Mus musculus: one gene and its partner. The main gene of each other region encodes a partner of the protein of the gene in region 2 in a complex. Links are inferred from orthologs where the notes say so. Each region holds a gene or a part of one and is shown on either strand. Other genes may lie near its edges.

What was found.
Region 1: Cc2d2a (region 2) and Tmem107 share a complex: the UniProt entries of both Homo sapiens proteins name them as parts of the tectonic-like complex. The link is inferred for Mus musculus from reciprocal best matches to the Homo sapiens genes CC2D2A and TMEM107.

What each region holds. Positions count from the first base shown.
Region 1 is NC_000077.6:69,068,819-69,074,363, reverse strand, and holds Tmem107 (transmembrane protein 107), read right to left. Parts: upstream 3,556-5,545; 5' UTR 3,418-3,555; coding exon 3,331-3,417; intron 3,141-3,330; coding exon 3,073-3,140; intron 2,991-3,072; coding exon 2,890-2,990; intron 1,942-2,889; coding exon 1,845-1,941; coding exon of another isoform or gene 1,766-1,844; exon of another isoform or gene 1,619-1,765; coding exon 1,549-1,618; 3' UTR 1,071-1,548; downstream 1-1,070. UniProt on the Homo sapiens protein: Plays a role in cilia formation and embryonic patterning. Requires for normal Sonic hedgehog (Shh) signaling in the neural tube and acts in combination with GLI2 and GLI3 to pattern ventral and intermediate neuronal cell types.
Region 2 is NC_000071.6:43,660,743-43,666,208, reverse strand, and holds the start of Cc2d2a (coiled-coil and C2 domain-containing protein 2A), read right to left. Parts: upstream 3,831-5,466; 5' UTR 3,650-3,830; intron 834-3,649; exon of another isoform or gene 679-833; intron 160-678; 5' UTR 1-159. UniProt on the Homo sapiens protein: Component of the tectonic-like complex, a complex localized at the transition zone of primary cilia and acting as a barrier that prevents diffusion of transmembrane proteins between the cilia and plasma membranes.

The sequences.
Region 1 (5,545 bases), on a different chromosome or scaffold from region 2:
CTGGCCTTGAAGTTGTGGCCCGCCTGCTTCTGTCTACTGAGTGCTGGTATTGTGGGCATGATCACCATTCCTGGCTGCTTTAAGTTTGTGACACTGAGGATTTCACTCAGGGCCTCAAGGCATAGCAAGTATGCACTTACCAGTGAGCTAGCTGTATCTTCAGTGTAAATATAACCTACTTAATTGCAAGTTCACACTGTTTAATTTAAGTAAGAGTTCGGTTTGGCAACCTGTCAGTAAGGCTCCTGGAAAAAGAAATGTTTTCCAAGTTCAGTAAGACAAATGCAAGGGTGTGGGTGTGGGCTTCTCCCAGAGCTGTACTTAAGTTTCTCAGCAATAGCTGAGACATATGTAACATTTTGGTGACTCTGAAACTTATTTTTTTTAAGCATGTACCACAGTTTACAGGATTAAATAAGTCTGGGAGTACTGTAAAACTTTTTTGTCTCTGTATGCCAAAGCTGAGTATAGGTCATATCACATCTATTTTCTCAGTACTGTTAACAGGGCTTTGCCTATGGTAAGGAGATCATTAAATTGAATGTGGGGAAGAAGACAAGAGATGCTTTAGGTAATAGTTAAGGAATTATCAGAAAGCACCTCCTGGCAAGCATAAGGAGTGGCCATGGGTGCTTTCCAGGAGCTGGGCAAACAACCAACAGCCACCTTGATGGCATTGTTTACCATAGAAGTGAAGACCTTAAAACTATGACTGGCCAGTTTAGGACAAATTATAAACAGCACACAGTCTGGCTGTAAAGGTCTACCAATCAGCACATTGGAAAAGTGTGATCGCCAGGGAATCAGATAGGAGCAACCAGGATGTTGTCAGGTCCTGATTGCATGGAAATGCTAATCAGCAGATCATGCAAGCTCCAATCATCATTTTCTACTGCCCTCCGAAAGGAGGAACAGGTAAGGATTAACCTCCTGACGATAAAAGGCAGAGGGAGCCCATTGCTAAATAAGTAGAGACATTTCCTATTAAAGGAAGGGTGAGAATACGTCACTTTAGCACGAGCCCAGTGACTTACAGTTCTTGCAACGCAAGAATAATATCTATTTGCAAGTCGTTTGAAGTATTTTATTCTCCATTCGGCACAAAAAGGGAGAAACAAAACCATCCCAGAATGCTCCCCTCACACGCGGCAAATTAGAAGCGCTATGTGAGATAGTTATTTGCATATCCCCGCCCACTCACTTCCGCCTAGCTTCTAGCGTAAAAACCCAAATAGAAGCATTACTTCTAGCCCTAACCACAAGATAAAAGCCTTTATTTATACCAGCCTCTTGGCCCATCCAATGGTCTTCTGAAAAATAGTATACGCCTTGCTCTTGTTATAAAATAAATTTTATTACAAAACTCTAATAAAATTATAATCCAAGATTTGAGAGATCTTATTCCAACACTGCCATCCTCTGCTTAGCCGCAGTTGGGAGGAGCAAGGGACTTGGGCGAGAGAAAACTGAAGCCTCTGCCTTTTTCTTGCAGCAGTGGGAGGAAGCTTCATCACTTTTCCAGCCTTGGTCCCTACACCCGGATTGTGATCAGAAGGGTTTCTTTTTCAGCCCAAAGACAGCGATGAATAATGCAGTTTCAGTGACAGCTGGGAAGGCGCTGTGAAAAGTACGGGGCCGCGGGGGAGGGGGGGGAGTTAGAGCCCCTTCCAACCCAAACACTTGAACCTCCAAACCTTATATGCGGGTGGGTTAGGGTGGGTATGACTCTTCAAAACTCTACCAATTTCACATGTGCAGGAAAGGTCTAGGTGGGGGAAACCTTCAGATTTGGGATCGATTTTCCACCACCCCCCCCCATTCCAAAATATTGGGTGCTAGGGCACCTGCAGAAGGTAAAAATGTACCAGTACGTGGTACATTCCCATCGCTCGAATACGAAGAAAGACAGGGCCACAGACGCGCTACAGTGGGCTGCAATGGCTTAACAATACAGAGGGGGTCAAGGAAAGTAATCGGTTCGTGATGGGCCCCGTTGGTACCTGGACTTGGGTTCAGCTTGTACCCTTCCCTTAAGACAAGCGCCAGAGTTGGCAGCCAATGCCTTCTGAATTTATGGACAGTTATGTGTAAGAGACCAGAGCTGAGTTTGCTTTGATAGGACCTCTCCCTGTACACTCTGTACACTTCTGGGAAGGTTAATGTCATATATGCCCTAGGCCACACAAGAATACCTACAGATCTGATACACTGGGGATTTCTCCAGTGCCCTGGTCTTCCTTGTCCACAATTCAAGAGTAAAGAGCTACCTTTTTAAAAACACAAACAAACAAACAAAACAAAACAAGCCAGGCAGTGGTGGTGCATGCCTTTAATCCAGCACTTGGGAGGCAGAGGCAGGTGGATTTCGGAGTTCGAGGCCAGCCTGGTCTACTGAGTTCCAGGACAGCCTAGGTCTACATAGAGAAACCCTGTCTTAGATAACCTAAATATATAAGTAAAATAAGATTTAAAAAAACCCAAAAAATTCACCTGCCCCTGCCTCCCGTGCACTAGGATTAAAGGCTTGCAGAACCACACCTGGGCTCTATTTTCTTGGTCCCTTCTGAGTTCCCATAGTGCTTTGTATTTTACACACACCTACAAGCATACTGTTTAATCACACTGATTTACAGATGTTTGTCTGCCACCTCTTCAAACGGGATAAAATGATTTTACTCCCATCCAGGGATCGCCAGAACCTGGCTCACATCCGGATTTAACGAATGTTTGAAGTCTATTAATTCCCCAACAGTGTCTAAAACCTCTCACCTAGAGAGAGATTCGGTTTACCATGTAGAGCAGACACTTGTGCCCCAAAGGCCTACAGAGGTGGAAAGAGTGGTAACTGGGATGAGTCACCTGAGGACGATGGCCAAATAAAAAGGATACAGAGGAGGCTCTGGGTGCTATTGAACATGGAGACTCCTGAGAGGAAGCCAGCCAGCTCCACTGCAAAGAGGCCCAGGGTGAGACAGAGCGCGGCTACCAGCCTGCAGAGAGAAAAGGGCTTGGACCAAGGTTTCTGGATTCTGTTGAAGACCCCTGCACTCTCACCCCGCCCCAAGAGCTCACTGGTTGTCCTGCTTTTCGTATTCCTCCGGGGTGAATTTGAGAGGCAGGCAAGCCTGGATGTTGCTTTCCTGGCGAGCCGGGCAGAAAGAAAGAAATGTCAAAAGAGGAATGGGGCTGCGGGGACAAGTTGGGAAGGGGCCGGGGAACGGAGCAACGAACGGACCCTGTGTGAGTGGACTGAGCTGAGCTGGGTCCACTCCAAGATGAGAATGGGAGGGCCAGGAGGGCACGCGCACGCGCGCCCTGTCCGCGTCTTACCCGGGACCAGAACAACGTGATGACAACCACCAGATGAGCCAAGAGCGTCAGGAACCGAGAGGGCACGAGCCCGGAGATCCGACCCATGGCCTCGGGGGCCTCGAGTGGAGGCCGTGGGTTTTGAGGTTGGAAGTCTGGGGTGGGTCACTCATCAAGTCTCCCTGAGCAAGCAGGCCAGACCTCTCTACTTAAGTGTCCTTCCCGCGCGCTCGGGCGCCGCCCGGCTGCCATGGTAACTGCGTCCGCAAGCGCCACGCTGCTGCTTTCGGAAGTCTCGCGATAGTGCTGCTCCCTCTACCAACGTCTATAGGCGCGGTACGTGAGCCGTTGATGGACCCAAGAGGATGCAGCCAGAACCACCAAATCCTCCCTTCTCCTGTGCTTCCCACTCACTGCCTTGGGCGCTAGGAGTCGAGGGGACGAACGAGGAGAGGCTGATGCACCGAGCTTGTCCCAGGGTCAGGCTAAGTCCCCTAGCCCCTGGTTGTCAGAGGACTCCCCCTTCCGCCCTAGAGCAAAACTTTGCCGAAGAATGACTCTAATTTCTTCCTAAATAACTTGTCTCCGTGTCATGAGAGATTTGCCGAGTGCAGAAATGAGCAGCCTTGGGATGGTTAAAATTGGATGTGGGTGAGGTGACTGCCTCGGGAACCGAGGGGATCTGAAAGGGTGAAGAATGGAGCGGGGGACTGGAACTGCTTGCGCTTAGCCTAGGCTGGGACGCTGACCCACCACCGATTTCACTCTTGCTCTGAGTTGTTAGGCCCCGGACATTGCTCAGTTACAGACCAAGAACCTCTTCTTAGGGTGATGTGACCGATTTGGGGCTTCGGATGAAATCCCTGCAGATCGGAGAATCGGAAAGTTCTCAGCACTTTCCAGTTCACAATCAAGTCCCATGTCAATGGACCTCCCATCCCACTTGCACTCTCTGGTCCCTCCATTCCTTTTTCTTTGTGCCTCTAAACCAGCCCAAAAGACAAGGCTCAGGACCAGAGGGATTTCATCTATTCAACAAATATTTGATGTCTCCCAGATGCCAGGCACTGTGCCCCAAATCTGAGAGTACCTCGATAAAGTCCCTCCAGGTTATATTCTAGGTGGGGAGATTGATAACAGCCAAAACAAGAACAAAACCCAGCGAGGTAATGCGTGCTATAATTTTTTTAAATTAAAAGATAATACTAGAATAATATCAAAGGGAAGCTTTGAAAATAGATACTTCTTAAATTTTTGTTTCAAGGAATTGGCAGAGAGAGAGAGGAAGGAGGTGGAGGAGGAGGAGGAGGAGGAGGAGGAGGAAGAAGAAGAAGAAGAAGAAGAAGAAGAAGAAGAAATGATTCTGTCTCCCTAAAGTAATACATGGGGTTCCCTTTCCTAAGCCAGTTAAAGGTCATGAAAGACAGACTGGAGGTCTTCTAAATGAACGGGGGGTAGGGGGGTGTCTAACTGAACCTGAGATCCCAAACCAGGCAAAAGAATTGCCCCCCCCTCGCCCCCTTTTATTATAAAAGACTGAGGTGAGATGCTTGGCAAGTTTTGTATAGGGTTTGTAACTTAAACAACAGCATTGTAATCATGTAATTTCCTGATTTTTTTTTTCAGTATTGGAGATAAGCTCCAGGCCTCTTACATATAGGTAGGTAAGCACCCTCCACTGAGCCATCCTCCCATCTTCCCTTCTGAGACCCTATAGTATTATCAACGCAGAGAATGGCATTCTAAAACACAAAGAATAATCTATAGCATTGAATGTCCTTATATATTCAGCTCCTACTTATTGAAGCTTCTGCCTGTGGGCTGCACTGGGGATCAAACACAGGGTATGGACCACGCTAAATGATTACTTTACTACTGAGCTCCACTCAAGCTCCTATATGGTGAAACTATAACTTTTTCATATAAAATTGAGTCTTAAGCTGGATAGGGGGAAACACCTATAGTCCCAGCATTTGGGAGGTGGGGGAAAGAGGTTTAGAAATTCAAGGTCATGCTAGGTTATATAGTCAGCTCAATAAAAGGAAAAAACTAAAATGTCTCTACAAAAAAAAATGTAGAAATGGCTTAGTGATTAATCCTTGCACCAGGTGTTAATCCTAGCACTCAGGAGGCAGAGGCAGACAGATCTCTGTGAGTTCAAGGCCAGCCTGGTCTACAAAGCAGGACAGCCAAGGCTACACAGAAACCCTCTGTTGAAAGAAAGAGCACAGAATAC
Region 2 (5,466 bases):
AGGAGCAGTACTTTGTGTATTGTTTATCCCCAGAGCCTTTGCCCAGGCCACTCAGTAGACGGACAGTTCATGTGTGTTTGTCAAATGAATGGCTCAATTGCTATTCGGATCCATTTTTCATGGGCACATTCTGGAGTCCTTCAAAGCCTCGCTAGGATGCTGTGAAGATTCAATGAGAGAAGATGAGGAGAAATATTACACACAGGACTGACAAACCTTAAGCTTTTCTTAATCTTATGGGAGCCAAATCTTAGCTGCTCTGGGGCCCTTAAGCAGCTCGCCCCAGGTGCTGGGGGAGGGGGTTGCTGACCCTCCTACGGAGTAAACATGTGAAAGAAAAACAAATGATCTGCCAGTCAGTTGTTCTTCATCCAGACCCTTCCAAACACTCAAGCAGGAGAGGAGAGAGGCTGAAAGCCAACCCAGAGGCAAAGAGGTGTGCACGGGAATGGGAGGGGCCAGGAAACGTACACAGAGATGCCTACGGACATCAATGGCTCTGACCAACACTTCTGGTTCTTAGAAATTGGAAAGAAAGGATGCAAAGTATTTTAGTCAGTGGAAAACAACCTCTCCACAAATTAAAAACAAGTCGTACATGGAATTAAAAACTCGAGGAGGAAAATGACAGATGTAATGGACTTGTTTCCTCTCTCCCCATTCTTTCCCCATCATTACCTTCCAATGAGTTTTGAGAGAAATCAAATGACACCAAAATTGATCTCTCCTCTGAGCACTGCTGGCTCCAAAAAGATGAATAAACACCGCTCGCTCAGCTTTAATAAGCCCCTGTCGTCAGTGTTGGCCATGGCCACTTGTTAATACATTCTTTGACAGTGTCAAAATAAAAGCCCTGGGTGTGTGGAGCTGGAGCTTGGCAGTCTCCCTGTGCACTCGCTCTGCTCACCCTGATACACCAGCTCTCAGTAGGATGAGTGTCAATTTAGACCCAAGCAAACCAAGATTTCCGAAATCATGTGAGGCCACAGGTTTGAAATCTCCCTCTCAGAGTCTGACCTTTGTGCTTTGTGGTTCCAAAGTTCTCTCTCCATGGCCCCACTTTAATTTTGTTAAAACAAGATTACCATCACTAGTCTATACTGTCCTTGCTGTGAAAATACAATGGAAAACCACAAACACTATAGCAATGTCCTAATTATATAGGTGACACAAGGCCAATAATCTATTTTACACAGGGCAGATAACCAACTAATTTTAAAGGAAAGTATCTACACTGTTTTCTGACCACATGAACTGTCTCTAAAGTCAGCCATTAAGAGTCATATCCAAGAATCCAGGGATGAACCTCCAAGATACAGAGAAGGACTGAGAGGAAATGGCTATACTATATAAAGTACTTCTTAATTGAGACTGCTCCGAAAGGATGGTGTATTAATTATACAAAGAAATTATGGCTTTAAAGAGTGAGGTCTTTGGGAAAAAAAACATAGTCCTAGGTTCAAAATCCCCATTTTCTCACCAGTGTGTGATCTTGAAACAACACAGCCAATTCTATAAATTCATAATCAAATGTCCCACCTTAGGTGATCATCATTTCTTATGGGTAACCCATTCTTATGATGGACTCTGTACTGAAATGATTGTAATAAAGTGACTGTCACAGACCAGGCTCTCTGTGTTGGTAGGGTTTATGGTTTTATTATTATGGATGTTGCCAGAGTTTGGGTTAGAACAGTTGGCAACTCTAACAAGATAGGTTTGGCCACCAGTGCCCCAGTAGGGCAATGAAAGAGAAAAATAATGGACAAATCAGAGACAACATGATGACTTTGGGAAGTGGAACAGAGGTGCCCAGTAATGTCACAGTCAGTCTTCCAGGGTCCTGATATGAAATTTGGGTCTGAATAAAAGGTACCAGGAGGGATACATAGCTAAGCAATTTTGGTCAGTGTGGTCCTTTCCATCACTGACATGGCATTGTCTCTGTCCCTGTACCTTCTGCAAGGTGATTGACAAGCTGTCAGAACTGTCTTTTGGAGACAAGTCCTCCCTTGTGCTGGTACGAGCAGCCCATCTTTTCCTTCTCCCAGCGCTCAATACTGAGAAAATACAGCTCTGAGAGTCCATTGTTTTAATGGCTTAGAGTCCATTGTTTTAATGGTCCGATAGCTGAAGGAGATACACAAATGTGTCTTTAGAGTATCTTTTTACCAACCAGGATGGTCAGATGAAGAGGTCATGGTTGCGAGGGGAGGTGGGAGGAAGGGATGGAGAGGGGAAACAGAGGTTCAGAGATGGAAGAGAACCATAAGAAAACCTTAGGGTGTTGAGTGCTATCCCTTTACTCTCTTTAGTTTTTGTCACCCATCCCTGACAGCCATACACAAGTCTCTTCTCCCCTTCCTCCAGCCAGGACCAGGACACTTGTTTTCCCTCGTCTGTTTAAAATGTTGCTGGAACCTCCTCCCCTCCACGCATGCTCACTTTCTCTCTTCAGAGACGAGGCTTTTCCTTTCGAGTGGGAGGGCCCGCTCAAAGTTGTGAACTCTCAGGAGCCATCCTGTGCCTTTTTAATGATTAATTATGTAGCAGCAAGTTACTCTAGCCCCAGCTTCTAGGGTACCAGGTGAGTGACACAGCTGTGTGTGGTCATTTAATCAGATGGACGGGACACCTTTCACTTGATGAGGCCAGGTCAGCACCCAGGCTCTGCTCATGGGATTGCTCAGCTGCACAGGGGGTGCTGGAAGCACCTCTATGGCAGGAGTCCCGCTGTGGGCCAAGCTCTTTAGACCTTTTTACAAGTCTGTTTTGTCACTGATCTCATTATCTGTTTCTACATCTGCTTCCCCAGCAAAGTCTCACCACTGGACCTGGTCTAAGTTGGTTTTGTACACTGTAAACTTGAGTTCTTCATCTGCTGCATCATTGATGCTCACTAAAAACTTGAATAAATGACTCTGTAAGTGAACTCTAGGCCAACTATCTATATACAGATTGATCTATGTTTATATATGTGCATATCTCTCTATCTCTATGTATACATATATGCACATATTTTCTCTATCCATATACAGTTCCCCTCTATACAAAGCATGCTGTCGTTACACTTATTTGCAGAAATGTTATATAAAATGCAATAGCAGACATGTATTTCTCATTAGATTTTATTAGCATTTCATAGCACCTAGCATTTCATAGCACCTAAAATGAAAACAGCTGAGCTGATGGCCAGTAGACTTCTGAAAGCTTGGCAGACCTCAGCCCTGCGGTTCAGAGCTCTTTGTCCAATAACAAGAAAAGTGGAGCTCGCCACACGGAGAGTACTCCCTCCGGCCCGCCCTCCCCTTCCCCGGAGCAGTTTAAACTAAAGGCCCGAAAGCAACACGCAGCTAGTGCTTAGCAGCACACTGACCAGAGAGGCTCTCTGTGAACCGGTTTGCTTTTCCCCTGCAAGCCAGACAGCAGCTGAAATCAGAGCTGTCCCTGCAGTGCCCCCACTTTGCATTGAGAGAGTGAAACTGCAAGCAAGATGAAGGGTCTCTAATGTTAGCAAGATGAGAGTCCCTAACGTTACAAAGCATTCATTCCACTCTCACTGCACCAGGGAGGGGCTGGTTTCTCTGCCGGAACGGAAAGGAGAGGAAAGCAGGACACTGCAGCCTGTCTCTGTTAAAGACTGATTTACCTTCGTCCACTCTACAAAACGAAGTTTGCAGATTCCACTTGCTGGGCTGAAGGGATGAGATGAGAGACCAGTTGTGTCAAGCCAGAGAACCTTTTAGAAATGAGCGAAAGGGTGGGCTGGGGTAAGAGAGGTTACTCCCTGGGAAGCTGCAGCCATATCTCAGGGTTTAAAAAAAAACACCAGCTTAGCAACCAGTTCCCAGGGAAGGTCACTAGGCGGCCGCTTTTTTTTTTTAAAGTGGCAGTTTACTTTTAAGACTTGGAATATGAGCTTGCTGGGCAAGCAGTGGAAAAATAACGTGCTGAAGAGAGACAAAGGGAAAGCAACTGGGCAGCCTAGCAGAGAGGACTCAGGCTCTCAGCAGGGTGTCCTGCCTTATGTCTCTGGGTTGCATGGCCTGTTGGGTCAAGGACAGAAGGTGTTGATAAGTAGAGTGGTTTAGAATCAGGAGGGGCCATGTTGTGTGGAGCTGCCTAGTAAGCAGTAGCAAAGACTATGTGGCCGGGCATCAGAGCTATCAGAGCTCCAGCGTGTGTTGCATTAGGGATGTTGGCTGGCTGTGCACAGAAGCTGGACCGCACACGCCTAACCTCTGTTTCTTCAACTCTTCACTACAAATGACCCAGCGGCCCAGCAGGGATACAGACAAGATGGCTCAAAAAAAAAAAAAAAAAAAAAAAAAAAGGCAAGAAACCAGGAGAAAAGGCCAAGTAGTGAGAACAGTAGTAAGCAGACTCAGACTCTACAGGCCAAAGACAACCACAGATCAAGGAACTCCACAGACCGCGGCCTCCTAACCCCAAGTGTTGTTCCTCAGAAGCCTGCCATTTTGTTTCTTAGACAAGACCTCTGACTGGAAGCTGGCATTTGGTGATTAGGCTAGGCTGCCTGCCTAACTCCAGATCCCTGCTTGTCTTAGCTTGTCTGGTGCTGATAGAACAAACGTGGGCCACCATGCTGAGTGTTAGCCACCTTCAAAGCCAGGTCCTCATGCTTGTGTGATGAAAAGCCCTTTACTAATAGAACTATCTCCCAGCCCCTATTTTCTGTATCCCTAAAGCTCTGGCATTCACTGCATGGGTCTTAGATAGATCTCTGAAGCTAACTAATTCCTAGAGACAATAAATGACTCCAAGGAAATGCATATATTCTCTTTGATACGTACTAACTGACCCCAAGCTGGCATCTCCATCTACTGCAATCACCAAGAAGTACCCCTCTGCTCTAAGTCACTCTGGAGGCAGGTGCTTAGGGAGCATGTCTATGATCCAGAATATTCTGAAACAAGTCAAATTATTTAATTCTAAACCCACCAGCACACTTACCATGCCACAACCTTCCTTCCAGGGAAAACCCCAGTAAAGGGTCTCTTTTGGAGCCTGATGTTTGGAGAATGCTGTTTTTGGAGACTGCTGCTGATTGTGTTTGGTTGATTGGTCTGTCTTTGTATCCCCAGTGCTGGGAATATAGATGCCTGTAGCCACTTGGCTTTTTATGTGGGTGCTGGAGACCTGAGCTCAGTATTTATTCTGGGCCAGTATCTTATTGATTGAGTCATTTTTTTCCCAGCCCAAGAAACAAATTTATATCCATTGTGATATTCTGTTATAGAATTATAAGACATTTCCTGCTTTGAAGGATCTGTGTGAATAACCTTTCTACAAGACAGCCATGTCTGTGTCTTCATGTCTCACCGTACCAGAGAACCCAGAGTTCACTTTTTAACATATGTGTGTACAGTGTACACATGAGCCAACATGTTTGTGTGGTGTGTGTGATGGGGAGAAGGAAGATATCAGATTGAGGTACTAATATGG